Linked DNA regions of Lonchura striata. The protein of the gene in region 1 purifies or fractionates together with the protein of each later gene. This does not show direct contact. Links are inferred from orthologs where the notes say so. Each region holds a gene or a part of one and is shown in the gene's direction. Other genes may lie near its edges.

What was found.
Region 2: the proteins of ERLIN2 (region 1) and TMUB1 purify together in Homo sapiens (affinity purification with mass spectrometry; 4 studies listed by BioGRID and IntAct, with this or other methods). This does not show direct contact. The link is inferred for Lonchura striata from reciprocal best matches to the Homo sapiens genes ERLIN2 and TMUB1.
Region 3: the proteins of ERLIN2 (region 1) and INSIG1 purify together in Homo sapiens (affinity purification with western blotting; 4 studies listed by BioGRID and IntAct, with this or other methods). This does not show direct contact. The link is inferred for Lonchura striata from reciprocal best matches to the Homo sapiens genes ERLIN2 and INSIG1.
Region 4: the proteins of ERLIN2 (region 1) and RNF185 purify together in Homo sapiens (affinity purification with mass spectrometry; 5 studies listed by BioGRID and IntAct, with this or other methods). This does not show direct contact. The link is inferred for Lonchura striata from reciprocal best matches to the Homo sapiens genes ERLIN2 and RNF185.

The regions. Positions count from the first base shown.
Region 1 is NC_134634.1:4,280,748-4,288,864, forward strand, and holds the start of ERLIN2 (erlin-2), read left to right. Parts: upstream 1-5,018; 5' UTR 5,019-5,041; coding exon 5,042-5,148; intron 5,149-5,261; coding exon 5,262-5,343; intron 5,344-5,517; coding exon 5,518-5,564; intron 5,565-5,768; coding exon 5,769-5,830; intron 5,831-6,971; coding exon 6,972-7,097; intron 7,098-8,117. UniProt on the Homo sapiens protein: Component of the ERLIN1/ERLIN2 complex which mediates the endoplasmic reticulum-associated degradation (ERAD) of inositol 1,4,5-trisphosphate receptors (IP3Rs) such as ITPR1.
Region 2 is NC_134603.1:156,868,784-156,875,485, reverse strand, and holds TMUB1 (transmembrane and ubiquitin-like domain-containing protein 1), read left to right. Parts: upstream 1-4,315; 5' UTR 4,316-4,361; coding exon 4,362-4,741; intron 4,742-5,213; coding exon 5,214-5,568; 3' UTR 5,569-6,201; downstream 6,202-6,702. UniProt on the Homo sapiens protein: Involved in sterol-regulated ubiquitination and degradation of HMG-CoA reductase HMGCR. Involved in positive regulation of AMPA-selective glutamate receptor GRIA2 recycling to the cell surface.
Region 3 is NC_134603.1:149,213,495-149,221,863, reverse strand, and holds the start of INSIG1 (insulin-induced gene 1 protein), read left to right. Parts: upstream 1-4,989; 5' UTR 4,990-5,054; exon of another isoform or gene 5,055-5,163; intron 5,164-5,432; 5' UTR 5,433-5,448; coding exon 5,449-5,845; intron 5,846-7,935; coding exon 7,936-8,060; intron 8,061-8,369. UniProt on the Homo sapiens protein: Oxysterol-binding protein that mediates feedback control of cholesterol synthesis by controlling both endoplasmic reticulum to Golgi transport of SCAP and degradation of HMGCR.
Region 4 is NC_134620.1:4,592,400-4,599,942, reverse strand, and holds the start of RNF185 (E3 ubiquitin-protein ligase RNF185), read left to right. Parts: upstream 1-4,409; 5' UTR 4,410-4,516; intron 4,517-4,616; exon of another isoform or gene 4,617-4,705; intron 4,706-7,543. Other genes in the region: C18H12orf43 (protein CUSTOS), read right to left, coding at 522-876, 1,263-1,353, 1,679-1,752, 2,358-2,457, 2,711-2,758, 3,144-3,408. UniProt on the Homo sapiens protein: E3 ubiquitin-protein ligase that regulates selective mitochondrial autophagy by mediating 'Lys-63'-linked polyubiquitination of BNIP1.

The DNA.
Region 1 (8,117 bases):
GGTGTCAGGTCCATGGCAGGGGTGCCAGGTCCATGGCAGGGGGGCCAGGTCCATGGTGGGGGTGTCAGGTCCGTGGTGGGGGTGCCAGGTCCATGGCAGGGGGGCCAGGTCCATACCGGGGGTGCCAGGTCCATGGCAGGGTGCTGGATTTGGGGTGACAACCCCAGCAGACCTGCAGCAGTGGGCAGTGCAGGAACCACCCCCTTGGTTCCCCTCATCCCACACCTCTGTGAGGCTCAGAGGGAAATGCCTTTTGGGGGGTCAGCACCCGGCCAGGACTTGGACCCACATCCACATTCCTTTGTCCTGATTTTATTCGTTAGCAACATTTGGCCTGGATATGGAGACAGCTAATGAGGGACGGAGTTTATTGCAGTTTGATTTTTCTGTTAAAACAATACAATAAAATAAATGCACTTGGAAATCTGGTCTGTGTTTGTACATAGGAGATTTATGGCTCTGAAGGCTTCCAGAGAGACGCAGCCTTTCATTCCCTTCCTTATTGGAACAGATCATGTTGCAGAGTTTAAAGGCCTCTGGAGCTGTGATTTATTTGAAGGGAGAAATAAGGGAAATCCAACTATCTGTTCCCTGGCTCGGATCATCCAGTAACTCCCAGCCAAGGGGACGGATCTGCACCTCCTCCACGGACTTTTAAAATTTTTTTTCCCTCCTGTCACTTACATTATCCTGCTCTAAATATATCACCGAGCCAGGGATGACTCCTGACCTGGGCGTCAGCACCTCACCGAGGTTTCCCCAGCCCTTCCTGGAATCCCACAGATAAATCTCTCTCCTAGAGCCCTGTCCGAGCTCCTCCACGCTGCTGATTGGACATGATCTGCGTGGAGCCAGCTGCTGCCTTGATCCAGAACTGAGGTAAAGGCAGGATCTTGGGGTTATCTCTGGATTCAGGTGATAAATTCATGTCACCTGTTGCTGCTCCCCTCCCTTGCTGCTCTCCTGGGCACAGAAGAGCACGGCAGCTTAGAACCAGGTCAGGATTTGTGTCTGAAAACCTTTTCCATGAACTTGGAAGCTCAGCAGGAAGATGCTGCAGCTCCCACACTCCATGCCGGGGCTGCCACAGCCACCTCCCTTTGACCCTTACAGAGAAAAACTGTGTTTTCCCCTTCTCTGAGGTTTCCTGCTCAGGAATGAAGCACCTGGAAGGCTCCGTGGTGCTGTGGTGCACCCCAGCCCATCCCAGTTATCCCAGTGGATCCCCCCAGCAGGAGCAAGGTGAGAACATTCCCTGAGCATAAAACAGACATTTTGGAAGCATTTGGCGTTTACAGGCCCGAGCTTCATGGTTCTGGTGCAACTCCTGCTTGTCCCAGGTATCCCCTGGACTTCTGAGAAAGGTGAGTGTTGGTGCCATCTGCACCATCCATCCTTTGCTGTGCTGTTGGGACACACGTGAGAGGAGAATTCCCTTCTCCACCGTGACATCTCACTGTGGGTCAGGGAAGGAGTGACCGAGGTTCCCAGCTGGGGAGGGAACCTGGCTGTGATGGCCACTCTCCTCCTCCTGGAGCTCCATCCCAGCTCCTCCAGCCCATGTTTTTGGCAGGCCATTCCCTCCCCCTGCGCACAGACGGGCTCTGTTTGCCATTAGCTTTCCCCCCTCTGCCCCAGGAGCCCATCCCAGCACTAATTCTCACGCATGTTTCGGGTAAATCTACTTTCTTTCCCGGGATGAATTGTGGTTTCCAAGCACCATTAATCATTTCCCTTTAGAAAACAGCATTGGGGGGCTGGAAACACATTGCTCCTTTATTTACTGGGGGATGACCTGGCACGCTGGCACCCAGCCACAGGGCTGGCGCCTGCGGGACGATGAGGGGCGCGGAGAGAAGCCTCAGGGAGAGCTCCCCTCCTGTGCTGGGAACTGATTCCCAGCGGGATCACCTCCCCCAGGACAGACCCAGCTCCTGCCCAGGGGCTGGGGGAGCGAGGGGGTGGTGGTGGGCAGGAAAAGGCTGGAAATGCCACGTGCTGTAGTGCTTTCCCAAGAGCCTCCTCCCAGGGGCTGTTCCCTGGGAGCTTGGTTGCCCCACGGCAAGGGCAGGAATGTCTCCCCACTCTCCACCCGCCCCACACGCCCTTTCGAGGGGATGTGGGTCCAGGACCCTCAGCTCATGGGTTTGGGTGGGCCCAAGGTGGAGGAAGCCCCCCTGCCCCGCCGGCCGTGGGGAGGGGGCACCAGGACCACGTGTGAGCTCCGGACTGTCAGGGGATGATTAATGGCCAACGCCACCGAGCTGCCTGCGCTGCCAAGAGCTGCATTGTTAGAGCTGACACGGAACGAGCCCGGACACTCTCAAACACAGCTCTGCCCCGTAATCAGCAAATAACATCCAATGGACAGAACTGGGGAAGCGTTTCCCCACACAGCCCCTGCCATCCCCGCCCTGCCCTGCCCTGCCTGCCAGAGCCAGAGCTGGAGCAGAGCAGGAAGGGGCCCAGCCAAGCACCCCCGGCCTCCCAGCTCCTCCCAGGGATTTCCCTTCCTGGGCTCCACTGCTGCTTCAGGTTTCAGCTAGGGGACAGCGGGGATGGGATAGGATGGGATCCATGGATGGGATTCATGGGATGGGATCAATGGGATGGGATGTATCCACAAATGGGGTGGAACTAGAGATGGAGGCAGAATTTGGGATGGGGTCTGGGACAGGGTAGAAATGGAGATGGAGACAGGAGTGGGGTTGGGGCAGGACTGGCGAGCAGAGCTTTCCACCCCCCCGCTCCAGCTGCACAGGTAACCTTAAACGCCAAAGCAGGAGCGTGGGGACAGAGTTTTTCCAGCCCCATTCCCAGCTGTCAGGCGGTGATTAATGGCCAACAGCCTCGGAATTGCCTTTATTGCCAGCCCAGCATTGTTACTGCTGACAGCTAACGAGGGCAGACAGGCTTCACACCGCGCCTTGCACTGCCCCACCGGGACTGAGCCGGGCCTGCCAGGACTGAGCCAGGCTTGAGCCAGACCTGCCGGGACCGAGCCGGGCTTGAGCCAGACCTGCCGGGACCGAGACGGGCTTGAGCCAGACCAGCCAGGACCGAGCCGGGCTTGAGCCAGACCTGCTGGGACCGAGCCGGGCTTGAGCCAGACCTGCCGGGACCGAGCCGGGCTTGAGCCAGACCTGCCGGGACCGAGCCGGGCTTGCCAGGACCGAGCCAGGCCTGCCAGGACCGAGCCGGGCTTGAGCCAAGCCTGCCAGGACTGAGCCAGGCTTGAGCCAGCTGTGCCAAGACTGAGCTGGGCCTGCCGGGATGGAGCTGGGCCTGTCCCACTGGGGCTGCCCTTGGCTATCCCAGCTGTGCCCATGGCCATCCCAGCTCTGCCCATGGCTATCCCAAATGTGCCCAGGCCATCCCAGCTGTGCCCACAGCCATCCCAGCTCTGCCCGTGGCCATCCCAGCTCTGCCCATGGCTATCCCAAATGTGCCCACAGCCATCCCAGCTCTGCCCATGGCCATCCCAGCTCTGCCCATGGCCATCCCAGCTGTGCCCGTGGCTATCCCAGCTCTGCCCGTGGCCATCCCAGCTCTGCCCGTGGCTATCCCAGCTCTGCCCTTATCCCACCCAGGGCCTGCCTGGGTCCCATCCCAGCTCCATCCCCACGAGTCTGGAGCCATGAGCACCCAGAGACCCCCAGATGGTCTCACTGAACTCCACAGAAAACCCCACAGGAGATTTTTACAAGGGCAGGGGGATGAGGTAGGGATGAACAAGCTGGAGAGAACTGGGTGCAATAAACCATTTATTCCTACAAACAGCCCTGTTAAAACCCCGAGAGCTGTGGCACAGACACCACTGAATGTTCCTGGCTTCAAGTCCAGCGGTAATGATTTTTTTTGGCTTTCATTTTTTTTTTTTTAGGATTATTACAAATAATATTTACCTTTGTGCTGGTTCACATCTTGATGCTGTTAAACACGTGGCCGCAGCTGGTTTCCCGCTCAGGGCAGTGATATAGTGCCGCTGTTATGAAGCAAAACCTCTCCTGTGAGCCAGAACACCCCACATTTAAAAACCTATTACTTTTCAATATTCCATGGATGCATTTTGCTCCAGCTCAGAGCAATTTCCTAGTTTACCCTTATTAAACTGAGAGGGGCTGAGCAGAGGTTTGTGATTTATGAAACACACACTAGATTCATTAAAACCCTTAAAGATTTAATACATTTTATCAAGGCCTTAAATCTGGGCAACCGCCTTTAAAAAAACACCAACTACAGGGTGTTTTTCATCTCTGGCGCCCTTTTGCGCTTCTTTAAGAGCTGTAAAATTTGGATTGACAAATATCGTGGATATTTCATTCCTTATTCCTAAATGGCGCTGAACCCTCCTGACAGGGCTGTTATGTATAACCTCGGAGATCCATCACGAGTAAAGATCAAATCATTCTCCCTTACTGACGTTTTATCCGTCTCTCCCGTGGTTTTTAAGGCCCTTTCCAGGATCAGAGCTGGACGGTTCTGTTTTCTGGCCCATCCCATTTCCTGAGATTGCCCAAAGCAGGCCCGGCGAGCCGGGGGGTCCGTGTCGGGGCGATGCCGGGGGAGGGCGCCGATATAAATGTGAAATGAAAATGTTCTGGCTGAGAACAGTAGTTGCCAGAGGGGAATCCAGGCTCCTGCTCGGACATTTGGCCGGCGCTCGCAGGGACACGGTGGGGTTGTTGGGGTGTGTGCAGGACCAGGAGCCGGACTGGATCACCCCGTGGGTGATCCACGGAGGATCTTCGGTGGGAAACGTGGAACAGTGGGAAGTGGAAATGGGACTATCCCGGCCCGTGGCAGGGCTGCAGCGGGACGAGTCTCGCTGTCCCCGCCGACACTCGGCGCTCTGTGCCCGGCTCGGGCGGGGAGAGCCCCGGGGGCTCCGCACCGCGACCCGCGGCGGGCGCGGGCGGGTCTCGAACCCGCGGCCTCCGGCGCCACATCCCCGCTCCTCCATCGCCCCCTGGCGGCGGCGGCGCGGGCGCGCGGCGATGACGTCAGTGGCGCGCCGCCGGTGCCGCCGCCGGTGCCGGGCATGGCCCAGCTCGGCGCCATCGCCGCGCTCGCCCTCGGCGTCGCGGCCGCCGCGCTGCTCTCGGCCGTGCACAAGATCGACGAGGGGCACATCGGCGTCTACTACCGGTGAGACAGCCCGGGGGGCCTCGTGCGGGGAGCGGGCCGGGCCCCGGCCAGCCGCCGCCGCTCACCGTTCCCCCTCTCTCTCTCTCTCTCTCTCCGTCCCGTTCCCTCCGCAGTGGCGGCGCGCTGCTGACCTCCACCAGCGGGCCCGGTTTCCACCTCATGCTGCCCTTCATCACGTCCTACAAGTCAGTGCAGGTGCTGCTGGGCCCGGGCCCGGGCGGGGCGGGCACCGGGGGAGCCCGGCTGTCACACCGGGCTGGCCGCGGCTGCGGCCGTGCCGGTACCGGGCAGAGGCGGCTCTCGCCAGCTCGGTGGGATTTGTGCCGGGGAAATCCCTCTCTTAAACCTCTTTCCTTCAATCCCCTGCAGACCACGCTGCAGACGGACGAGGTGAAGAATGTCCCGTGCGGCACCAGGTGAGGAGTTCGCTCTTCCCTTTCGTCCCAGAGACTCCTCAGACACCGAACCGCTCTGCAGCCCCGGCTGGGCTCACCGGGAGGCTCTGCAGGGCCTCCCCGGGACCGGGAGCTCCGGGACAGGGGCTGGGGTGTGCTGGGTGGTCCCACCGGAGGGGTCAGTCCCTTCCTGCAAGGATCATTTTGTGCTTTCTCCCTTTGCAGCGGGGGAGTGATGATTTATTTCGACAGGATCGAGGTGGTGAATTTCCTCATCCAGAGCGCGGGTGAGTCCCAGCTGTGCCCCGGGGCCGTGCTGCAGTGAGGGAGGTGCTGGGGCTGGGGAGGGAGCTGGGCTGTCCCTCAGGTGTGCCCCAGGAGGGAGCCGGGATGTCCCTCAGGTGTGTCCCTCAGGTGTGCCCCAGGAGGGAGCCGGGATGTCCCTCAGGTGTGCCCCAGGAGGGAGCCGGGATGTCCCTCAGGTGTGTCCCTCAGGTGTGCCCCAGGAGGGAGCCGGGCTGTCCCTCAGGTGTGCCCCCAGCACCTGGCAGAGCCCTGGCTGTCACCTCTGACCCCTGCCCTGGGAATGTGAGGTGTTGATTGTCTCCTGCTTGTATCACCTGCATTATCCCAGCCCCTGAGCTTTGTGCAGCACCGTGGAGTCAGGGAGGGTGCAGGGTCTGTGAGCGAAGCAGCCCAGGGAGAGCCACCTGGGCAGCCTTTTCCCAGATCCTTTGGGTTTGAGCCTGGGAGTGCCTGGCTGGGCAGGGAGGGGTGTGTGGTGTGTGTGTGTGTGTGTGTGTGTCTCTGTGTGTGTGTGTGTGTCTCTGTGTGTGTGTGTGTGTCTCTGTGTGTGTGTGTGTGTCTCTGTGTGTGTGTGTGTGTCTCTGTGTGTGTGTGTCTGTGTGTGTGTGTGTCTGTGTGTGTGTGTCTGTGTGTGTGTGTCTCTGTGTGTGTGTGTGTCTCTGTGTCTCTGTGTGTGTGTCTGTGTGCGCGCGTGTGTGTGTGTGTGTGTCTGTGTGTGTGTGTGTGTCTGTGTGTGTGTGTGTCTGTGTGTGTGTCTCTGTGTGTGTGTGTCTCTGTGTGTGTGTGTGTCTCTGTGTCTCTGTGTGTGTGTCTCTGTGTGTGTGTGTCTCTGTGCGCGTGTCTGTGTGTGCGCGTGTCTGTGTGTGCGCGTGTCTGTGTGTGTGTGTGTTTTCAGCCCCAGCACAGCCTGGGGGTGCTTCACACCCTCCTGTTCGCAGGGCAGGGGGCAGACGTGGGTGAGAGTGCCACAAAACAGCAGCAGTAAACAAACCTGCCCTGAGCAGGTTTGAGGGCAGGGGGGGCCCTCATTTCATGCTGCCCTGAGGCCGAGCTCCAGGGCTCTCCCTGAGCGCTCAGCCTCCTGTCCCTGCTCCAGCCCTGCTCTCTGCTCTCCTCTCCCAGTGTACGACATCGTCAAGAACTACACGGCTGACTACGACAAGGCTCTCATCTTCAACAAGATCCACCACGAGCTGAACCAGTTCTGCAGTGTGCACACACTGCAGGAGGTGTACATCGAGCTGTTTGGTGAGTTGCTGCTGCTGCTTCAGAGCCCGCTGGTGGCTGTTAGCCATTAATCCCGCCTGGAGCTGGGGCTGTTAGCCAGCTGTCAGCCTTCATCCTGTTATCTTTTGGAGCTGACTGCTGCAGTGTGTGCTAACAACAAGCTCCGAGCCCAGCCCAGGCAGCCTCCCTTTAGGGAAGGCAGCAGGAATTCTGTGGCATTCTCTGTGATGGATTGGATGGGTCACAGGGCTGTCTGAGGCAGATGGAAGAGCGGGCTGTGGCCACAGACAGTGACTATTTTCTGCTGTCACAGAAACTCTGAGCAGGCACCACTGGCCCGAGGCTGGCTGAGCTTTGGGGCTGCAGTGCCATGAACCAGGAGTGCTGGCGGGGGCCACCAGGGAGGCACAGGGCAGGAGAGGCTGAGCAGAAGCTGTGCTTGCCTGGAGGGGTTGGCCCAGCAGCTGCCAGTGCAGCTGGCTCTGGGCTGGCAGGAAATCCTCCCAGGCTGCCAGCACTGGCAGTGCTGGCTGTGGGCACAGGGGCCCAGCAGGACAGGCTTTGTGCCAGGGTGAGCACAGGCTGCTTGCAGGCTCCTGTTCTCTCCAGGCTCTCCAAGGTCCCCTTCCCACACAAGCTGTGGGCCTGGGGCTCAGATCCCCCCAGTTCCAGTTCCCAGCTCCTGCTGGTGGCTGGGCGGGTTCCTGGCCCGTGGAGGCTCCAGGTGTCAGCAGCTGCTGTGTGAAATGGGCTGAAAGCTCCCGCTCTGCACAGAAGGAACTTGTGCAAACTCCCTGGGAGCCCTGGGCTGAGCTGCCTGGGTCTGGCTCGGGTCTGCAGTGGGGCTGTGCCCCACTCTGAGCGGCCTCACGTCACCCTCTGCCCCCACATCTGCCAGCAGGTGCAGGGAACTGATAGCAGCTGCGTCCCAAACTCCTGGCTGGGCTTCCTTAGGAGCCTGAGCTCCAGATAGGAAACTGGGACCAAAGCAAACAGTCCAGGAGTGTGATGTGATCCCTCTTAAGGCTGTTACTGTTTGAT
Region 2 (6,702 bases), on another chromosome or scaffold:
CCAGGGCACAGTGTACAGGGCACAGGACCCAGGGCACGTGGCACAGGGCATAGGACACAGGACCCAGGGCACAGGGCAGGGCTGAGGCACGGGCAGACGTGGGATGGAGCATTGCCCAGCCCAGGCCTGTGCTGATGGGCCCTGTCCCTGCCAGCCCCTGTGGAGCAGGAACCCCAGTCAGCCCCGGGACCAGTACAGGGGAACTGGAGCCTGGAGCATCGCAGAGGTGCAGAGGGAGCAGAGCAAACAGATGGAACTGGGGCTTAGCAAAGGGATGGGAAAACCCAGGAGATGAGTCCAATCTGCTGAAAAGGCAGGAGCGGGTGGGGACAAGCCGAGGCTTTCAGGAGCAGACATTCCCTCAGGCATGGGCAACCACCTGCCTTCTGCAGACACGGGCCACTTGAAGATGTGAACTGCTTTTCAGGATGGATTTCAGCTCAGATCCTGAACTTTCTCTGCTCCATCTGCAGCCCTTCCATCTGAGGCTGCACTTCGTGAGTGCCTCAAACCGGCACCGCTGCCAAGAGGAGCTGCCACCTCCTTCACTACCTCCTCCTCCTCTTCCTCCCCCTCCTTTTCGTGCTGCTGCTCCCAGCCCCAGACCCTGGTACCTGTGGTGCCCATGGCAGTGGGGTGGAGCAGGATGGCTGTGAAGGGCCCATCCCACCCAAACCATTCCGTGACACCAGACAGTGCCAGGCCCATGTGGGGCAGCAGGAGGGTCCCCACAGCAGACCCCCAATGTCCACCCAGGACGCGGGGCTGGAGAGCAGCACCCCCAGAACAGAGCTGAGGGGGGGCCAAGGCGCAGAGCTGAGCTTCAGTCATTGCCCGAGCAAAATGGGCAGAGAGGAGGCCCGGGGGCTCTCCAGGGCTTTGTGGCTCCTCAGAGCGCTGAGACACGGAGGTGTTGGATCAGTCTTGCAATAAAAACCGGGGCTTTCTTTCTGTGGGGACATGTCTGTTGTGAGAGCTGAGAGCACAGTTGGGGACCCGGCTGGGGACCCTGCTCCTCTCCCCCAGACTAAGGGGAGTAGGAAACTCCGTCCGTCTCCGGGAGCTCGGGCTGCTGTCCTCCGGTGCACCCAGCAGAGCTGCGGCTCCTGTTCCGAACACATCGGCGCTTTGCTGCGCGGCAGCACTGCCTGCGGGAGAGAGGTGTTCACGTCGCCCTGCAGTGGCAGGGACAGCTCTCTCCGGGCGGCGGCTCAGGCAGCAGCTTTCCCCGGAATAGCTGCGGCTCTCTAATCTCGCTCTGCAGCACGGGGGTGCCGCTGGTGCCACCCAGACCCGCAGCAGCGCTGTGCGGCGCGCCCCGGCTCCCGCCGCTCGGCGGCTGCCGCGCTCGCTGCGGCTCCGGCGGGTCCCACGCGGAGCCCACGGCCCCGCGCTGTGCCGGGACGCGGCGCGGCTGCCGGCCCCGCAGCGTGACCCGCCGGGACCGCGGCTCTCTGCCACCCCCGCGATGCCGCAGGCCAGCGCGTGGATGTTGGGGGCAGCTGGGACCTGTCCCACTCCAGGTGTCCGCCTGACTCTCCAGGGCCCCGGGACCCTCTCCAGCGCTGCCTCCGCGCGAGCCAGGGACACCACAGGGTGGACACCCATGTCTAGGGTGGTGTCCCGGTGTCCCCAGTGCCCCACTGGGGCAGAATCCCTCTGTGACCCCTCTCTGGCCACAGCCCCAGAGCAGCTGGACTCTGAATATGTGGGCTCTGGGAAAGAGGCTGAAAATGGAACAAGGTGGATTAAACCCCCCTGGGCACGGTGGAGGTCCTGACCAGAGCTCAGGGCCAGCAATCCCAGCAAGGCCTGAGGGACAGGAGGGGGGCTCAGCCCAGTCATGGGGGCAGAAACGCGGAGAAACACTGAGGAAAGGTGAAATGGTGAATGAAGAGTAACCAGAATGAGGGGACCATGAACGCTGGCAGAAACACAGTGGGGCAGCCCTTCTCATGAAAATATTTTCCCCAATATCCAAAACCTCCCCTGGCACAACTTGAAGCTGTTTCCACTTGCCCTGTCCCTGTTCCCTGGCGCAAAGCCCGACCCCCCCGGCTGTCCCCTCCTGTCAGGAGCTGTGCAGAGCCACAAGGTCCCCCCTGATCCCCCTTTGCTCCAGGCTGAGGCCCTGCCCAGCTCCCTCAGCCCCTCCTGGGGTTCCAGCCCCTTCCCAGCTCCAGTCCCTGGACACACTCCAGCCCCTCAGGGTGTTTCTCGGGTCGCAGCAGTGCCAGCCCAGGGGCCGGGCACTGCCGGGTTCCGCTGTGCCCTGGGAGGGCAGAGCCACCGTCACAGCACGGCAGAACTGCAGGAAGGGGCTGGGACACCTTTGGGTGCCACTGCGGGGGTCCCCACCCTGCTGACCACCCCTCTGCCGCCCACAGAGCCCGGGCAGGGCAGGGCAGGGCGTTCCCACCCCCGGGACTGGCCATGGCTTCAGCTCACCGCTCCTTCAGGAGAGCATCAAAACTCCAAGGGACCCAGAGCAGCCCTGGGCACGGCAACACAAACGCTGCCTGGCTCCGGGCTGCAGAGCTGAGGAGCACAGTCCGCTCCGCTTTCCTGGGAACTGAAGGTGACTGGGAAGAGCTTTCAGGGGAATATTAAACAGCTTCTTAATCGAGACAGGGAGGATGGAAAAGTCTCACTCTCTGGGAGCTGAAGGCAGACAAATCCACAGTGACAACCAGACACTGGGATTATCTGGGAGGGGATGAACCGCTGGATAAACCCTCAAATCTGAGCAGACACAACCCCTGCAGCAGTGGATTCAGGCTCATTCCACTGTCGGGAAGGGTAAATCCCGGTTCTGTGCCTGCACGGATCAGCCACGGTTCAGATCTGCTGCTGTGCCACATCCACTGCCCCGACAGCGCTGGGATCTGCTGGGCAGCTCTGGCCCAGATGGGCTTTGCCTCTCTCAGGGATCCTGCCCTGCAGCCCCTCCTCGGGCTTTGCCTCTCTCAGGGATCCTACCCTGCAGCCCCTCCTCGGGCTTTGCCTCTCTGGGGGATCCTGCCCTGCAGCCCCTCCTCGGGCTTTGCCTCTCTTGGGGATCTTCCCCTGCAGCCCCTCCTCGGGCTTTGCCTCTCTCGGGGATCCTGCCCTGCAGCCCCTCCTTCCCACCCAGAATCCCAGCACGGAAACCGTGACTCCTCTCCCGGAGGCTCTCAACCCCACGTACCCTCAGCAGGAAGGGGCTGCCCTGGCACGCTGATGCCTCCCGGTTTTATCCTGATTTCACCCTGATTTTTTCCCAGGACAAATAATATGGAGGATAAAATCCTCGTGATCTTATCCCAGGAAATGTCAGTGCCACACCAGTGAGAGACCCATAGAGGGGACATTCTGGGAACAGGGGACATTGTTGTCCAGAATTTTCCTTCCATCCACAATGGTCCTGTATGGGAGAATCATTTTGTTCCCATCTCCCCCATCCCTGTTGCAGTATTTCCGTGGATGGACCTCTTCACCTAAAAGTAAGACTTGTTGACATAAAACCAAGAACTTTTCACTTAAAATTAAGAATCTTTCGCCTAAAATGAATAATTTCTAGCAAAAAAATAAGACATTTTCACCTAAAATTAACAATTTTTAACCTAAAATTAAGAATGTTTCACCTAATATAAAAGATTTTAATAAGAGCCTGCAGGTAGCTTTGGTCACTCCTGGAGATTCACAGCTCCAGAATCACTGAGGGTAGAACTCTCAGAGATGCCTGAGCTTGCCCACCCTCAGCATGGCCCTGGCCACCACTGCCCTTGTCCCCAAGTGACACACGCACAGGAATTTAAACCAGGAAGTATCTAGAGTATCTGGGAGTGACTGGAGCCATACTGGGGGTGACTGCTAGCAACTGGAACTACACTGGGGACAAATGGCATCACACTGGGGTTAACTGGGTTAATTAGAATTACACCAGGAGTGACTGAACCCATGCTGGCAGCAACTGGGATGGTATTTGGAGCAGCTGGGCCCATGCTGGGTAAAACTGTGACCACACTGGAACTGTGTGGGAACACCCTGCAGGTTACTGCAATAACGCCGGGAGTGTCGGAGGGGCTGGGATCGCACCGAGAATGCCGGTGCGCCGGCAGTAACCGGGAGTACACCGGGCGTGCCTGGCGCCGGGACGGGACTACAGCTCCCGGCGTGCTCCGCGCGCCGCCCCACCCCGCCACGGCTCCTGCCGCCAGGACTACACGTCCCATGGCCCCCCGCGCCTGGCCGGAAGCGGCGCGATGGCGGCCCGAGCCCGGCCCGGTGCGGCCGCGGCCCCGGTTCCCCGCGGCCCCGCGGGCTGAGGCCGCGCCCGCCCGGTGCCCTCTCCCGGTGCGACCCCCGCGCCTGCCACCGCCATGGCGCTCATCGAGGGCGTCGGCGATGAGGTGACGGTGCTGTTCGCGCTGCTGCTGGCGGCCGCCGTGCTGGGGCTCGCCTGGGCCTCCACGCGCGCCCCCGAGCCCGCGGCGCCGGCGGCTGAGGCGGCCCCGAGCACGGCCCCCGCCGAGCGCAAGGCCTCGGCCCCGGCCCCGGCCCCGAGCCCGGCCCCGGCCCCGGCCCCGGCCGAAGCAGCGGCGGCCTCCGATGAGGCGGCGGGGCCGCGGCACCGGAGCGCTCCCGCGGGCACCGCCGAGGGCCCCGCCGAGCCCACGCTGGTGCTGCGGCTCAAGTTCCTGAACGACACGGAGCGCTTGGCGCGGGTGCGCCCCGGGGACACCGTCGGTACGCTCAAGAGGTGAGGGCGTGCGGGCCGGGGCGGCCGGTCCCGGGCCCCGCCGGGCGTCCCTGCCCTCCCCGCAGCCCCTGGCGAGGACAGCGCTGGCCCGGGACAAGCGGCCCGTGCCCGGGCGGCGGGGCCGTGGGACAGCCCGTGCTGGCAGGGACGCCTGGGCTGGCTGATGGGCACACGCACGCCCGGGTGTGCGGGCAGGGCAGGGCTGGAGGACCGTGGTGGGTGCGTTGGCAGGGGGTGAACAGAGGGACTGTCCTGGCAGGTGGCAGCTGGGCGGGCACAAGCGTGCGGGGTCAGGCGTGCGGGGCAGGGTGGGGGCTCAGGGTGGGCACGTTCATAGGATGTGGATGACACTTGGGGTGGCTGACCGGGACACACAGGCTCAGCTGGGCACGGGTGGCGTGAGGGCTCACAGTGGGCACAGGATGGGGGTCAGTCCTGTCAGCAGTGTGACTGCTGTCCCCGTCTCCTCCAGGACCTACTTCCCGGGGCAGGAGCAGCAGGTGCGGTTGATCTACCAGGGGCAGCTGCTGCGTGACGATGCCCAGAGCCTGGCAGGGCTGCACCTGGGCCACCTGAGCGTCCTGCACTGCCACCTGTCCCCACCCAGCGCGGCCCCCACGGCTCCCGGCACCCCCGGTCCCCGCAGCCCCGCGCCCGCCGCACTGGGCGTGGGCAGCCTGGCGCTGCCCCTCTTCGTGCTGCTGCTGGCCCTGCTCTGGTACCTGCAGCTGCAGCACCGACACGTCTTCACCGCCACCGCCACCACCTGCCTGGCCGGCCTCACCCTGCTTGTCACCTTCGTGGCCTTCGCCATGTACCGCAGATAGCGCGGCCCGGACCAGCACTGGGGACACGTGGGACCTGGAGCCGCACCTGGGAACCTCAGAGCCTGCCCGAGCCACCAGGGACGTGGAGGACTCTGCATCCAGCCCCCTCAGCGTATCGGGGGCACGTGGGGCCTGCCCACTGCGGCTGAAGAGGAGCGCTGGGCCCTGGACTGTGTCCCCCGGGGGCCCCGGAGTCCCGAGCAGGCACCCACACCTTGTCTGCACACAGGGGCTGTGTGGGAGTGGGGGCTCAGCTACCTCGGGGGCTCCCAGTGCCTCCGTCCCTGCTGGCAGCATCCCCCCATGCACTTGGCGTGCAGAAGCCCCTCGGGTGCGGTCCTGCCCGAGCTGCTGGCCGTGCCCGCGGAGCTTTTCCTGGGAATACGGCCTGGCCCCTCCCTGGGGCTGCTCCCGGGGGTTCCGGTGCCCGGGGAGGGACATGAACCCTGGGGTGCCGAGGGTCCTGGTGCCGGCGGGATACGCTCCTAAGGTGCCTGTACCGGGGGAGAATTCGTGCCCCCAAGCGGTCCCGGTGCCGGGGGTGGCTGCACTCCCACTGTCCCGGGGGTTCCCATGCTGTGTTGGGGGGTCCCACCCCCCACCGCCGTTCCGATTAAAGCGGAAAGACTGTGACCGGCCGTGGCGTCCTGGCTGTGCTGCGCCGCGGGTCGGGGATGCGGCGGCAGCGGCAGCGGCGGCGTGAGACCGGGAACGGGGCGGGGGCGGGGCAACGGGAGGGGCGGGGCCTGGCTCCTCCCGCCACGCGCTCCGCAGGGCCGTAGCGCGCCTGCGCCGGTGGCTCCGCCCCGCTCTCAGCGGAGCTCTCGCTGATTGGCGGAGGTGCGGCGCTGATTTGCATGCGGCGCGCGCCGGCCCCGCCCCGGAAGCGCCGCGCGCGGGGCGGGGCCGCGGGAAGATGGCGGCGGGGCTGCGCTCCCGGGCCGTGCCCGTGCCCCGGCGGCGCTGAGCGGCGGCGGTGGCGGCGGGAGCGAGCGGCCGCCAGCGCCATGTACGGCCGGGCCGCGTGGGGTGGGCAGGGAGTGCCGCCGGGGGGACCCGGGCGGGCTTGGTGCCGGTGGAGGTCGGGGTATGCCCGGGAGAGGGGCGGGGGACACCGGGCAGGCGGGAGGTCCC
Region 3 (8,369 bases), on another chromosome or scaffold:
TCTCTGCTACATAAATATGCAGAACTTTGATGATGAATGAAATCAAAAGAAAGGCAAAGGCACTGCCTTTGTGTCAGGACAGAGGTTCATTGACAGGGAGTCAGTACCCACAGCTGCATGTGGGATGTTGGTTGGCTAATTATATGATAGCTGTTACATGGATTTATAGACATTTGAAGACTGCAGCCTGCATGGAATTGTTCTTTCTGTTTTGTTCTGGTAAAAAAAAAAAAAAAAAAAAAGCAGCTAGAGAAACATCAGCAACTAAACAAAAAACATTCAATTAACCTTTGTCATATGCCCACTACAATATTATTAACTACACAAAGACAAGGCTTTGTTCAGATACCTTAAGGTTTAATTTCCATGTTCAAACTCCAGCTATTGTTCCTCACCCTCAGATTATGTAAAAGCAGCCAAGTTTTTAAGCTCTGCTCACTGCAGATGACTCACATTATTATACACTAACCAGCATCACACTTTGTTTTTCCCCTTTGTTTTACATGCCTGAAGTGTTCTGGCTGGAGTTTGCCTAGTTCAGAGCTTGTACATTCTGCATCCTGCATCCTGCCCTGTAATCACTCCCTGTCCTTCTCCTTTCAGTTTTTAACGAGCTCCTGCACTGGGGCTTGGGCAATCTCACAGAGCCACCCTGGAGAACTCTGCATACACCATTTACATCTCAGGTGTTCTGACCTCTGAGAAGGAACCAGGACATCAGTGACAAGTGCTGTCCTGCATGGTCCTCACTGGGACCAGTGTTATTGAATGTCTCCATCAATGACACAAAGGGATTGGAGGCAGCCTCAGCAGGTTTACAGATGACACCAAGCTGAGTGGTGCAGTGGCCACACCTGCAGGACCTGGATGAACTTGAGAAGTGGCCCACAAGAATGTCCTGTGGTCTAACAAAGCCAAGTGCACGGTGCTGGGTCTGGGCTGGGGCCACGCTGGTGACAATCCAGGCCAAAGGATGAACAGATCAAGAGGGATTTGGGGGCCTGGTAGATGGGAAACTAGACATGACCTGGCCATGTGCACACCCATGTCCTGGGCTGCGTCCAAAGCACCGAGAGCAGCAGGGAGAGGGAGGGGATTCTGTCTCTCTGTTCTGCTCAGACCCCACCTGGAGTGCTGCATCCAGATCTGGGGTCCCCAACACAGGAAGGACATGGATCTGTTAGAGCAACTCTGGTGGAGGCCACCAAGATGATCAGAGGGATGGAGCACCTCTCTTACAAGGAAAGGCTGAGAGAATTGGGATTGCTCAGCCTGCAAAGAGAAGCCTTCAAGGTGACCTAATTGTGACCTTCCAGTACCTGAAGGGAGCCCACAAGAAACATTGAGAGGGACTTTTTACAAAAGCCTGAAGTGACAGGACAGGGGAGAATGGCTTCACCTTGAGAGTAGGTTTAGGTTAGATAGCAGGAAGAAATTCTTTATTGTGAGTGTGGTGAGACCCTGGCACAGGTTGTCAAGGGAATTTGTGGATGTCCCATGCCTGGAAGTGTTCAAGGACAGGTTGGATGGGGCTTGAGCAACCTGATCTAGTGGAACCCCCATGGCAGGGGGTTGGAGCAAGATGATCTTGAAGGTCCCTTCCAACCCACACCATTCTATGATTCTGTGATCTGCAGGCTTTGCTGCAGGTTCCTGAGAATTCACACAAGTACACTGGAGACCATTGATAAAGCAAAGAACTCAGGATGACAGACTGCTGCTGAAGTCGAAAGATTTTTTGAACTCTTGCACATAGGGTTGGCATAGGGAATCAGACAATGAATGTCACTAAATCCTTTCATAGAGACACAGGAGATTAAGGCTGAGCATATGACACTGGGAAGGTTTCTATTCTCTGTATCAATAGGAGAAATTCTTGAAGGTGAATAAAGTCAAAAAAGTCTCCAGTGAAGCAGAGGGAGAGCAGTTTTACACATAAAACAGGCCTTGCTCTGTGATTCTTCACCACTGCCTTTTGAGCTTTTATCAGCAGACAGCTCATGTTTTGATCTGGTTTAAGTAGGGAGAAAAATAACTTGTCCAAGTATCCTAAACTTCCCACGTAAGAGGCCCATGAGACAGCCCTCATGAGGCAAGCACATTGTCAGATTCTAGAACATCACAGAGTTTAACACAGAAAGTGTGAAAGAACAGGTGAAATTATTTATTTATGTAATGAGTAGCAAGGCTGAATACTTAGAGATTCTGCTGCCTTTGCTAAGGGATGAGATAAAAATAACGATGTCATTAATCTTACAAAGACATGTGAGCGCTTCTTTCCAGAAATAACTGTTAAGCATAAAATTTCAGGCATTAATCAAAGCATGCTGAGGCCTAACCTTCCTTAGGATTCCAAAAAGAAATGTAAAGCAACAGGACTGTAAAGCAACACGAACAAAAGGGGCATTTAACCTTCATTCTAAGTGTGTAACTTTGGGGAAAATATGCTCAGGGACAGGTTATTGACTAGTTTAGATTTGCACTGATTCAGCTGGTTTTAGCAAAGCTGCAGCAAGTTTTACCCTCTCAGAAGTTGGTCTCTGTTGTCTCAAAAGAAACCAGGAAGAAAGAAGGGCACCACCACATGATATCATGAATATGAAAAAAATGCATATAAAATATTCAAATAAAATATTCTGCAGGAAATAGCAAAAAAAGCATACTCACGAGGAAAGGAAAAACACAGGATGAAAAAAAAAATTGCTTAAGAGGTTCTTTTAGGAAGGAAAACTAGCAGATGCAGCACAAGGGAATATAAACTCTGCCCAAACACTGAAAATATGGGCAAGATTCAGGGGGGGAATTTAAATACAGAAATATATTTTTTCAAATAAAGTAGAGATGCAGCACAAGCAAGGATGAATTATATTTGTTTCCCATAAGCCAAGTCCAAGAAGAGATTTCCTACAAAGATGAATCATTTTATCTCAGATCCACAGTCCTGTTGATAAATCTCAAAGTAAGTGATTCACCAAAAAAGAATATTTCCCAGGGAATGAGTTCTAGCCCTTATTTAGAGCTGTTGAAGGTGTTTCTTAGTGGTGTGGGGATGCAGATAAATTGTCTGTGTCAATTCAAAGCTTGTACACAGTGGCCATGAGGGGAAGTGTTAGGTCTGCATGTGATTTCCTGAAACAAAATGTTGTGCAGAGGAACCCATAAAAAGCTGACAATATATCAAGGCTGTTTTCTCTCAAAATAGTTGACTGAAACTTTTTGTGCAGATCCAACTGGGTCAGAAAAAAATCCAAAAACAAATGGAGAAAGAGAAATATATTGTGTCTTAAAAAAAAATCTGACAGAAGAATCTGAACAATTTTAGCATATTAAAGTAAAACCAAAAGCTGTTTCAGTACTGTAAATAGCAACAGAAACTGAGTATTTACAATTCCACTTACAGAGGACACATGTACCTTGGTTCAGCAGTAAAGTCTGCCAGACATTACTGGGGTGATCCCAGCTGGCATTAAGAGAAAAATACTGGGCTCATCTGTCACTTCCAACAGTGGCACTAACAAATCTGTCCTGTACATTTTCCAAAGGCACTTTGCTCAGCAGGATCAGTTACGCTAACTCTTCCTATCCCAGCTAGAAAGGGATAGCCATATCCCAGGTCAATTTTACTCTTCATTAATGCAGAGAAGACCTGCCTCTTTCCATATCTTCAACTGATTTCATGTATTTTATTTGCTACGTTTATCACATCAGTGAAAGACGACTGGAACCACCACTGAGCACTGATCCTGGACCATCGTTGTGCCCATCATGGGCATGGCTAACAGCTACCCTTGAATGCTCAGTGCCATCCCTTGGGAAGCCCTTGGGTCCTGTATTCCTCCTAAGTGTAACAATGGCACAACCTCATGTGAAAAGATCTGCTGGACCATTGAGGCTAGCGAATAAACACGAAGCCCAGCAATTCCTACTGCAAACGCCAGCCTCCCATGTGTCCTGGAGAACCAGCGTCTCAAAAAGGCATCCTGGGAGCTGAGTCCTGCTCTGTGTACTCATTTTTTTGGTGCTGAACTCTACCATATAATATACAGCTCACACTTAACCATCCCTGACAGGCCTCTTCCCAAACCCTTGCAGAGTACAGAGGGTGAAGTTGTATTTAACTGGGTTTTTGTTATTTTGGTCTGGCAGGATTGTGACCTGAGCTTTGCTAGTGCTGGCAGAGCAGCTGCTCAGGCTGTCAGGGCCCAGTCAGGAGCCTCGGATCCTCCGGTCACCCCATGGCTGGCTGCTGACGCAGCGTCTGGCTTTGGCACCACCATCTTACGGAGTCATAGCCTTGGCAGGATCCCCTTACACCATTTTAGAATTATGACAGAGATCAGTGATCCCTTCGTCTTCAGGAGAGGCCACAGCAGACGCCTTCAGCCTTCCCCATTACTAACTGCCATCACCCAAAGGGACACGCAGCAGGCTGGGCAAGCACACGAAGGTTTGCCTGCAGCGGCCACTGACACTTGGGCTTAAAATGAGTCTGGGGAGATTCAGATTATATAGCTGAAAAAAAAAAAAATCACTTTTAGGGTGGTCAGGCATTGGGATAGGTTGCCAAGGGAGGTGGTGGAGTCACCCTGCAGGTGTTCAAGAAGTGTCTGAAGCTGGCACTGGGTGATGCGGCTTAGTGGTTTAAGGGCTACAGCGGCGCCACTGGGCTCACAGTTGGACACGATGATCTTAAAGCTCTCTTCGAACCTCGACCATTCCATGATTCCGTGACAGCGTCACCACCGCCGGCATCTCCATCCCTCCACCGCCCTCCCCTTCCCGCCCGGGAGCGGCGCGCATCCCGGGCGCGCTGCCGCCGCCGGCGGCGCGGAGCGGGCGGAGCGGCGGGCCCGGGAGGCGGGTGGTGTGTCCCGCACGTCATATCAGCCGCCCGCCCGCCATTGGCTGCGCCGCCTCACCCGAGCGGGGCCGCGGCCGCCCGGGGCTGGCGCGGCGGCTCCCGCGCCCGGCGCTCGCCCCGCCCGGCGGGGAGGGGACGGGCGGGGCGGCGGCGCGGAGCGGAGCGGCGGGCCCGGCGCTGCCTGCGGCCGCGGGTAGGTCGGCGGCGGGTAACGTGACATCCGCGGCTCGGGGTTTATAAACCTTACCCGGGGCGCGGGCCGGCGGCGCGGCGGCCGGCGCAGCCCCCCTCTCCATCCCGAGGTGAGCGGGACGCGGGTGCCCGGGGACAGACGGACGGGCCCGGGCAGGGAGCGATGCCCGTCCCCGCGGGGGCGGCGGGCCGGGGTCCGTGTGCTCCCGTGGGGACGAGGCGGCGCAGCCCCGGGGTTGCTCGGCCGGGCCGGGTCACCCCGCATCCCCCGGTGCCCGGCCGGCGCTGGAGGATGCGGCGGTGCGTGTCAGCGCGGAGGGAGGCGCGGCCCGACCCGTTGCTGGGGCTTTAGTAGCGTGTGGTTGTGCGTGTGTTTCAGGACTCCGGAGAAGCCAATGCCCAGGTTGGAGAGCTGCGCCTGGAGCTGTTCCTGCACCGCCAGAGGAAGGCACAGGAGCCAGCTGGGGGACACGGCGGCGGGGCTGGCCGCCAAGGTGGGCGAGATGCTGAGCTCCTCCGTGTCCAGCCCCTCGCTGGCGCTGGTGGGTCGCGGAGCTCGCAGCCCCAGCACCTCCAGCGCCAGCAGCACCGCCAGCAGCGCCAGCAGCACCTTGAACTGGAGTCAGCACCTGGTGCAGAGGAGCGTGGTGCTCTTCGTCGTGGGTGCTTTCATGGCCCTGGTGCTGAACTTGCTGCAGATCCAGCGGAACGTGACTTTGTTCCCCGACGAAGTGATTTCTACTCTCTTCTCCTCCGCCTGGTGGGTGCCCCCGTGCTGCGGCACAGCAGCAGGTGAGTGCCTGACCTCCACCAGCGATTTCAGCTTTATTCCTCATCCTCTCGCGGAGGAGGAGAGGCGGTGGGGCTGAATGCTTGAGCCGTGCGCGTGGGAGCCCCGCGTTTCCATCCCACAGCGAGAGATGCGAGCTCGGGCACTCGGGAGGGTGCGCGCCCGGTCCGTCCCCGCGTGTCCCGGGGCCGCTCTGGAGGCGGTGCGCTCTGAGGGCGGCCGAGAAGCGCGGGCTCCGCGCGGGCTCCGCGGGGCGCGGCGGTGAGCGCGGCGCGAGCGCGCTGGCCCCGCCCCCCGCCGCCCATTGGCTGCCGCCGAACTGGTGAGTGGCGGGCGGCGCTCGCCATTGGCTGCGGCCGCGACTGGCCACGGGCTGGGCCACAACAAGGAAGTCACGTGCGGCGGCGCGCGCGGCCCTGTCGCCACAGCGGGCCCCGCCACCGGCCCGGGCCCTGCTCCCGTCCCTGTCACCTCTCTGTCCCCTCTCTGTCCCCCGTCCCTGTCACCTCTCTGTCCACCGTCACCTTCCTGCCCCTGTCACCTGTGTGCCCCTTCCCCGCTGCCCCCGTCACCTGCTTGCTCTCGCCACCTCGCCCGCTGCCCCTGTCACCTCCCCGTGCCCTGCCTGCTGTCCCTGTCACCACTGCTGGGCAAGTACCACAGAAGGCTCAGGCCGCGGTGTGGTTGTCACAGCAGCTGGCGCATACTTCGTGGTTTATCATTCATAACACCCCCACCCCCCCCCCCCCCCAGTCCCTCTGTCTAGGCAAAACAAAGTTTTGGTGAAGGGTTGGAGGATTAAAAATGGAGATAAATTTTAGGAAACGAACCCACTCTTAACAGTTTTTAATTTGCGTTGAAAATACTTTAAACAACTTCTGCATATTTTTGTTTAATGCATATTTTGTTTAATGTTTTGTGTGATGTCTGCTTGTATCACACAGTGAAGGGGGTATGAATGATAAACCATAAACTCGAATAAATAATGAACTGTGTTAATTAATGGATTACATTAAAGGATGAACATTAAAGGGATGGCCTGGGATATTCTCCAATGAGAGTTCTTGTAGTCCTGTCACAGTTGGATTAAACTTTGGAATTCAGGTGTTAGCATAAGTTAAGAGTCCTGGTAGCTGGTGTCAGAGTAATTAAGCTGTTTCAGAACACGTCTCTATTGGAATAGCATGTTCTCTAGCCTTCTCTAACACAGAATTTATTACTCTTAGGAGTTTAAGGAATTAAAAAAAAAAAAAGAGCAGGAAAGGAAATAAATAAACACAGAAGTTGCACTTAGTAAAAGCAGCACATCTAACCCTGGAGTTGGTGACAACTCAGGGAGTTACAATCCCTAGAAGAATGAAACTCTGGTGTTCTTGCCAACAACTGAGCTAACACTGGCCTATGGTTTTCTTCTGCAGCCAACTTTCAGGCTGATAAAGGCTGAAAAATGCTTTATGGAGATAAAAACTTTGTCTTGTTAATTGTATGAGTAGTTATTTTTCCCTGATATAAGTAGACTGATGGCAGCTGCTTGTTTAAGTTCAGCTCTGCTTCTGTTTGGTATCAAAATTCATCTGACAACATGGACAGGAGCCCTGGGCTGACTTACAGCCCAGCAGAAAGAGAGAAAGCAGCTCTGCTAATAAACTTTTTAAGTCCAGGCAAATACTTAATTCAGGGCCTGATTCACAGCTGATGAATCATGTTCATAAAGCTGTCAGCCCTGCACGTGAGCAATGAACACAGATTGCACTCCTCGCAAAGCTTTTATTGTGCTTTGCTTTTATTGGTACAAGTGTTTGCTCAGGATGTCAAATGACAAATCTCTTTAAACAAAAGAGCTTCAAGTCAGATACCTTAACAATGCAATATATATTTAAAGGTTCAAAGAGAATGCTGCTTGTTACACTGGGGTTTTCACTTCTCTAAAGAAGAAAAGCTGGGTAATAATTGTGCTTTCTCCATCAGGCTTACAGCGGTGCGATGAGCACCTCGTTGCTTTCTCAAGCCCTTATGTGCCAAGCTAATATTTGGTGGTGCTGGAGTAATCCTTGCCTAGCAGCTGGTCCAAGTGGTGTTCCTTCTCTTGCAGCTGTGGTTGGCCTGCTGTACCCCTGCATTGACAGCCACCTCGGGGAGCCCCACAAGTTCAAGCGGGAGTGGGCCAGCGTCATGCGCTGCATCGCCGTCTTCGTGGGCATCAACCACGCCAGCGCTGTATCCTTCAGCTGCTCTCTGCTCCAGTGCTTGCTCTGTGCTCATCACACTGTCTCTGCCACTCGGGTCTGGGGGGGATTGCCAGGGTAAAGGTGGTGCTCCTGGCAGAGAAGGTCTGTGAGACCTGCTGTACGCTGCAGTGGCTGCTGTGAGATGTGTGACACAGCTCACTCGGAGTGTCACGGGAGGGGAGAGGGGTTGGCATTGTGGTGTGGTGTGTCCTGTATAGCTGCAAGCATGACACTGTAAGGTATGTTATTTTAATCTACACCTAAAAGCTAACACAACTAACTAGTGACGTGCTAGTGA
Region 4 (7,543 bases), on another chromosome or scaffold:
AGGTTTCAAAACCAGATTGTTGTGATGATCGCAGGGAAAAAATAAGGGGCCCTGATTTCTGACAGGATGCTTTTGAAAAATGAGTCTCCCATGGGCTGGAGCTATTCTTAGCAGTCTACAAGGAGGCAAAAAGTAGCTGATCACCTGTTGCCATGTAAACCAAATTCAATTCATCACACACTTTCTCCAGAAGGGTTTCATGATGTGAAGGAACAGACCAGGAGGAATGCAGCTATGATCACATCCCTCTGCCATGCAAGCCTGGCACAGGATTTAATCCTTTCAGATGGGGCCTGCACAAGCAGCAGCACAGCCAACTGCTGTGTGAGGAGAACAATGTTCCTTTCCTCAGGGACGCCAGTAGCACAGGAAGTCACTTAATTAGTCTCTCAGGCCACTGAGCTTTTAGAACAGATGCTTTGCCAATTAATTTTCCCTCATCTGCAGCAACTCTTGTTGTTAGGTTTTCTTTCAGTTTCCTTCACCCATCACAACCACCTGCTGTTTGCAGAGCAAAATCATCATTCTTTTTTCTTCTTCTTTTTCTTCTTCACAGCTCCTGGCAGCACAGAGTTCTCTCTGTGATGGCTGTTCTGTCTCTCCTGCTGGCCATTTGCAGACACCAACCGAGGCAAATCTTTGCAGATCTGGTCACACTCTGCTGGGTCTATTATTTTCTCTTGAATATTATTGTCTCTCCTCATTTTCTTCTTCTTCTTCTTCTTCTTCTTTTTCTGATTGGGTTCCACATAACTCTGACTCTGATCCTGGCTGGAGCCCTGGGACCATGCAGGGAAAGCACTTTGCTTCAGAATATCTGCAGCTGACACGGCAGCCTCCTGGCACCTTTGCCATTCTTGCTCACTGTCTGTGTCACTGGAAAGGCAACAAGAGGGAAGGAATTTGTATTGTATTTTTTCCTTGAATTCACCCAGAACTTGAACAGCAGAATAATCTGAGATGAGAACACACGATAAACACCCAGTGGCTCTGAGACTCCCACACCTACAGTTTGCATTTAACCAGTCTGAAGGCCAGTGTGCTCTTTACACACACTAGGAGGAGAAAGAAAATCTCCCACAAACGTTTCTCATTCTCCAGCACTAAAAAAGTAACAAAATTCTGGTCTAGTCAAATATAGGAGTCATAAATGCACACTTCTCAAGCTCTTCAGCTTCCTATTCCCTTGTGGGAGTCTCAGCTGCCTCTGAAATGTGGGATGCAACAGTACCTGAGGAGCAAAGCAGCTGCCAGCACCTCACCTGGAGCTAACTGGCCTCCTCCTCCTTGCTGCAGGGCAAGGCTCCGGCTTCCCACAGTCTCCAGGGACAGAGGAAGAAAAGAGGCGGAAACCTGAAGTATGGAAAGAGGGGTTTTAGGCAAAATATAAAACAGAGGTGGAATCAATCAACTGCTCTTTTCCTGGAAGCCTCAGTGCTGTTTCTGTATTTCCACAGTGCTTGACAGCAAATATTTGGGACTGTGTGGGAGGACCTGGGGCACAGAGGTCAGAACTGAAAAGGAGCAGCTCTCATAGACACCACCAGAAGTTCTTTCAGTTCAGAGCAAATGTTTATGAGACACTGGGATGCACTGTCCTGGTGATGGACAGGATCCACCCCACCTGTCAGCAGCCAACAGTCACAAAACAGATACAAAGGCTGAGACTGGAACTCACCATCATCTTCAGAGTCAGACTGTGCCAACCAAGTCTGTGATGGTCCTGATGAATCCTTCAAGACAGTGATGACACTAAACAGAAAATCCCAGTCAGATCTCAGACAGGTTTGTGCACACTGAGCTACAGGTGGGTATTTCTGGGAAAGAAGATTAGAGGGAGATGTTGCACAGATCCTTTTTTGTTAGTGAGGCTGCCTCAGCTCCCTGTTTCCAGAGCAGACCAGGCCTTCTCTCCTCAGCAATGAGGAAGAGAAGAACAGTTTGAAAACAGTGTTTCTGAAGCCAGCTCTGAACAGCAGGAATTCCAGTTCCTCAGGGCCATCCTTGCCTAATAGACAGAGGGGCAGCCCAGTATCATTCTGCCAGCACAGCCCTGATTCAGGGACTGGTGGAGGTTGTGAGAACAAGATTCTCTCGCCAGCCTTTACAGGATGGACGTCTCTTTTTCTCCGCACAAGATGTTCACCACAGAGGCAAATGAAGACACCCAGTGCTGCACAGAGAGTTTTGACTAGATGGGCACAACACATCAGCAAGGTTAGGTCACAGAATACTGGAAGTTTGTACTTAATACAGGCATGAAGGAGACAAGATGTTGACTTTCCCGTGTTTAGCACACAAACACGTCAGTGTAACTGACCCACAGAACACAGGTTTCAAGCCTTGCACACCAGTACCTGTCTAGCATGGTTCCCAGTTTCTTTGCAACGTGTGCTCTGAACTCTGGAGTCGTCTGGAGCTCATTGTCACCCTCCTCACGGCCGATTGCCTCACGCCCGTTTGAAATAAGAACAAGGATTATCTCTTTCGAGGCCAATAATATCTGTCCCTCTCACCCAAAGCCTTAAAAACATATTATCCTGTACAAATTTAAGCATAATTTCAGATTATGGTTGGACTAATTCCCCAAACAGAAACTTCCCCTTTCAGTACGAAGTATCATAAGGTACAAAGCAGAAGCAGCAAAAATATTGCACATAAATTTTTTCTTAATGGAAACATTAAGTCTGAAACCAGAAGCAAAAATACCTCAAGCTTGGCTGATCTTTAGGCTGCAACCGATCCTTTCTAAAGCCCCCTGAAAGGAAAGCAGCAAAGCACACTTAGAGACTTGCCAGAACTTCCTTAACCCCCGTCAGGCACATGTCAGAGCATAAAAACAATGCCTGAAAGACAGCCCTGGGCCGCCTTCGGGGGAGAACAGTTATGAGGGGAAAGGGGAACTCCCCTCAGGCCAGGACTGCCGGGAGGGGGCTCTGGGCCGGGCTGGAGGCCGGACATGGCTCGGGAGGGTCGGGCAGAGCCCCCTCGCTTCTGACACCGGCAGCGCGGCACAGAGGAATCCCCACGGGTCAGAAGTTGCGGAGGGGGCCGGACCGGAGCGGCGGGGCGGGGCGGGGAAGAGAGAGGAGGGCACGCCGCAGCGCGGGGAGCAGAGCCCAGTCTGTCCCCCGCCCTCTCACCGCCGCACGGCTCCGCCCGCGCCGCCGCCAGCGCGGTGCAGTCCCAGGCAGCCTCCCGGAACCGCGCGGCCGCTTCGCCGCCGCTGTCCGAGTCCGAGCCGGTGTCGCTGTCCGGGCCCGAGACGCCCCTGGGCGCCGCCATCTTGCAGGCGCGGGGCACGCTGGGCGCTGTGGTACGGCCGCAGCGCGTGCCGGGAGCTGTAGTCCGGCCGCAGCGCATGCCGGGAGCTGTAGTCCAACACCGTCCCTCGTACCCGACTTTCATAAACTGATCCTTGTTTTAATCAGCTTTTGGAGGATCCGGTTCATGTCTGTGGGGCCCTGGTAACGTTCTAATCAGTTACTACACTGACATGAAAGTTTTTGCTGGGGCATAGAAGCTGTGCCAAGCTGTGCTGGTGGAAAACGAGAGAGTGGCTTTGCTGGAGATTTTCACCGCTCTGCAGGTAGGAAGGACTGCTTTGTGTGCTCCTCATGCCATCAGCGCTGTCACGTTAAGTGCTACATTTTCAAGTCATCTTGAAATTTTCTGGTGTGAGACAATGTGTTTGGTGACTCCAGGTGGGCTTCTGGATAACCATTTTGCTGTGGGTTTTGCCAAGCCTGTGTGCAGGAAAGCAGCAGAAAGATTTCGTATAACTGTTTTTATCCTGGTGGACACTTCCCGGCTTGCACCTTCCAACCTCCACGCCAGAACTCTGCACTCTCAGGCTGCCTGGCAGCAGACAGGTCACTGCCAATATCCTTGGGCTCTTTCTGATGGGTTCCCTTGGCACTAACTTCCCTTAATTTCTTCACTATTCCCTAATAAAACTCACCTGCTATAGTGGAATACCTTGGTTTAGGATTTACCCGTTCTCCACCATGTAAAGAACAAGCAATTTTGGGCTGTTTTGTACCTTGGAGTTCCCAGGACTGGTGGGGTGCCCTCAGAGCTGGGACAAACCCTCCAGAAATGCCTTCTCGGGCAGGTCACCTCCTCTCCCTCGCTTTGGTCCCTCTGGTTCTTTGGTTTCTCACAACTGTATACATACCTTTATCAATCTCTAAATACCTTTATCCAGCTCTCTGTTTCCGTTTCCATCCTGGAGATTCTCAGCTCAGATTCTTTCCATCCTGAATCCGCTTCTCGGCTCAGACTCTTAGCACTCTACACTCCTAAGTCAACACTTCGTTTCCCTCAAACTTACGTCCTTCCCTTTCCGTCCTTTTCTTTCCTCCCTTCCTGCTTGGGCCGAGCTTTCTCGGCGCGCTCCTGGCAGTGCCCGGCGCCGCCGTTCGGAGCGGCCCCGCCCCTCCCCGGGCAGCAGAGCCGCCCACGCCCGCAGGACCGGGGGTCGCGGCGGGGCCGAGCGCGGGCGGGGCTGCCCGAGGTAACGGGGCCGGGGGCCGGGGGCCGCGAGGGGCGGCGGGGCGGGGGCCGGGCCCTTCCGCCGGCCGCGCTTCCGGGCGGTCAGGTGACGGGCCCGGCGGAGGGCGGCTCGGTTCGGCTCGGCTCGGCGCGGCTCGGCGCGGCTCGGCTCGGCTCGGCTCGGCGCGGCGCGGCGCGGCGGGAGCCGCCGGTGAGCAGGGCCGGGCAGGGCCGGGCCGGGCGCGGTGGGGGGAGCCGGGGCCGCGGCTCCGGGGCCGGGCCGGGCCGGGCGCTGCGAGGCCGGAGCCGTCCCCGCCGCGGAGCGCCGGCCTCGCCCGGTGCCCTGGAAGCGCGGCCGGCGGGCCCGGGCGAGTCCCGAGCTCCGCGGCTTTGCGGGGCTCCGCAGGTGCCGGCGCCGAGCGGGGCCCGACCCGCCGCCCGCAGCGAGGGATGGCTCGGGCACGGCTCGGGCACGGCTCGGGCACGGCTCGGGTACGGCTCGGGTACGGCTCGGGGCACGGCTCGGGCACGGCTCGGGGCACGGCTCGGGCACGGCTCGGCCACGGCTCGGGCACGGCTCGGGCACGGCTCGGGTACGGCTCGGGGTGTCAGCTGCTGCGGCGGGACACCGGATATATTTTGAGAATTGCTCGTACATTAAGACTCGCTTGTTACTTCTTAAATCACGTCTGTTGTATGTAAAAACTGCTGTGTTTGATATTTTTACGTTTTGCTGCTAACCTGGGTTAGCCAAGCACGTCTCTCACACGGCACTGCAAACCAGGAAAACGCTGGGGCAGCATTACCCAACTGGTTATATTCCTTTTTTTTTTTTTTTTTTCCCCCTTTGGACTTTGTGAGGTAAGAGGATAAAATCTTTGTTGAAAGATTTTTCTTGGAGTCTATATTAAACCTTTATGGAACGGATAACAAAAAAGCAGTTACTTGAATCATCCGAGGGTTTTTGCTGTTTGCATTTACAAGGTACATGGACTCCTCGGTGTTCCCAAAAGAGCCCTTCAGCCTGGCAGCACTGACTGTAACACAGATGTGCATTGCAGAATCCCAGTTCATGAAACGAGGCCAGCAAGGGCACGTTGGACTGGAAGGCAAATGGCTGCTTTTGCAAGAGCAAGTGATCACAAGTGAATTCATGTTTTGGGACCACTTTGTGGTGATATTAAAATGCAGGTGCCCAATACGGGTTGCCGGAAGTGGAGAGATGAAACTTGAGAAATGTTTCCAAGGAGTTAAAATGTAACATGTTTGGGGGATAGAAAAGAGTAAAAAGGTAGTGAGAGATAAATATGTATTTAATGATTAACAACAGGACACTCATTCGTTTGTTAAAAATATCTAAAATGACTGTCAAGAAGTCAGTGCACTTTCTTCTAGGCACTGTCAGCAATTTTCAGCTAAGGTTACCTGGTTGTACTTGAAGCCCAGGCAATTGTAATATGTTAAGTTTCAGATTGTTGTTAAATTTATGAGTGGGCATATTTATATAAACTCTCAGTAGTAGTTTTAGATTTAAATTTATTTTCTAATTTGAATTTTCCTTTTGTAAAATTTTTCAGTGTCAGAAAATGACACTATTACCTTAGGGATAAGAAAAATACACTGACAAATCTTTTTGATTTAAACTGCAAAAGGTTCAGGAACTAAATCAGAACTTGTTTCATAAACAAACTAGATTTAGATTATTTAAATTTCAGTAATCTTAGTTAAAATAAAATTTATTAGGAAAGAAATATGGAAAAGGGTCTTTCCTGTGGAATTGACATCCAACAGTGCTGCTCTTTTTATTTCATTGTTATGGCAAAGAGGAACAAACTTTGGGTTTTGTTAATAAACTAGCCAGACTTCTATATTCTCACCAGAACTTTTTCTCATTTTTTCATGAAAAAAAATAAATACTTGAGACATCCTCATGTCATGCTGTGAACACGTATTCCAGGACTGTTTTCTATAGGTGAAATTAGCTTCTAATTTATAGTCCCTCTTTGCCTTTCTCAGGTTGAATTAACATTGAATTAATGCTGTTTCCAGCAGGTTTTTTTGTGTGTACCTTAACTTATGGTGAAAACTCCCCTAGCCTGTCTTGAAGTGTTTTTCGTGTGTTTTGAGGGCTAGGCAGTGTACTTTGGCAAATGCAGTCATTTGCTGAGTTCAGAAGTGTGATCTTTGACAGTAGCCACTCAGCTCGTGCTTTCCTGGTGTACAGTAGATTTACAGATGAAGTTTTTAAAATATTAGGGGAAAATTTCTTTCTGACTGAGATCCATACCCAGCCCATGGACATGCCCAGTCCCCTGCACTTACTCCTGTCGTGGACCTCCTGTGCTCTCAGCTGTCACCACACGTTCAGGTCCTTCTGGAGTTCCACCCTCTCATGTACCTCCACTTCCATGTCTTCATGCTCCACCAGGTTTCTGTATTTATTTAGGAAGCCTACTTGCAGATGAGTTCCTTGTTTCTTAACTGTTCCTCTGCTGCCACTCTTGATTCTTGGTAGTAAACGTCAGTCATTTTTCAGAAGAACCTGTTGGGGTATAACATAGGGATTGTGGTTTAAAGGAAATAAACAGCTAATCTAGATGGCTTTTATGAAACAAAGATAATGTTTTCCTGTAAATATGTAGAGAGCAAAGAAGTAAGAAAGAGAAAAGGCAAGATCTCAGAATGCCTGCAGTTAGGTATCAGCTGATTTTTATATCCTTTCCCTTGTTTTGTTTGTTGCTCATCATGCCTCCAGGGTTGATTTGGAGACCTGATCTGATGGATAAGTTTGTAGCAAACCTGCAAACCTTGACTGGCATCCCTCAATTGTGTTTACTTAACCCCAGAAGTCATATTCTATCTCAGTGTACTCAGTCTTCCTCCCAAACTCTAAAGCAAATTGAGAATGGGGTTCATTTGGCCTGTTGTGTTAGTTGTTGATTTTTTTAGTTTGTGATTTGCATATGGTTTATTGTTTTGTTTTTTTTTTTTCCTAGAGAGTTTTGTCTCAGAGTTTAAGAAGTTTGAGTGTTCGATTTTGAGCTCATTG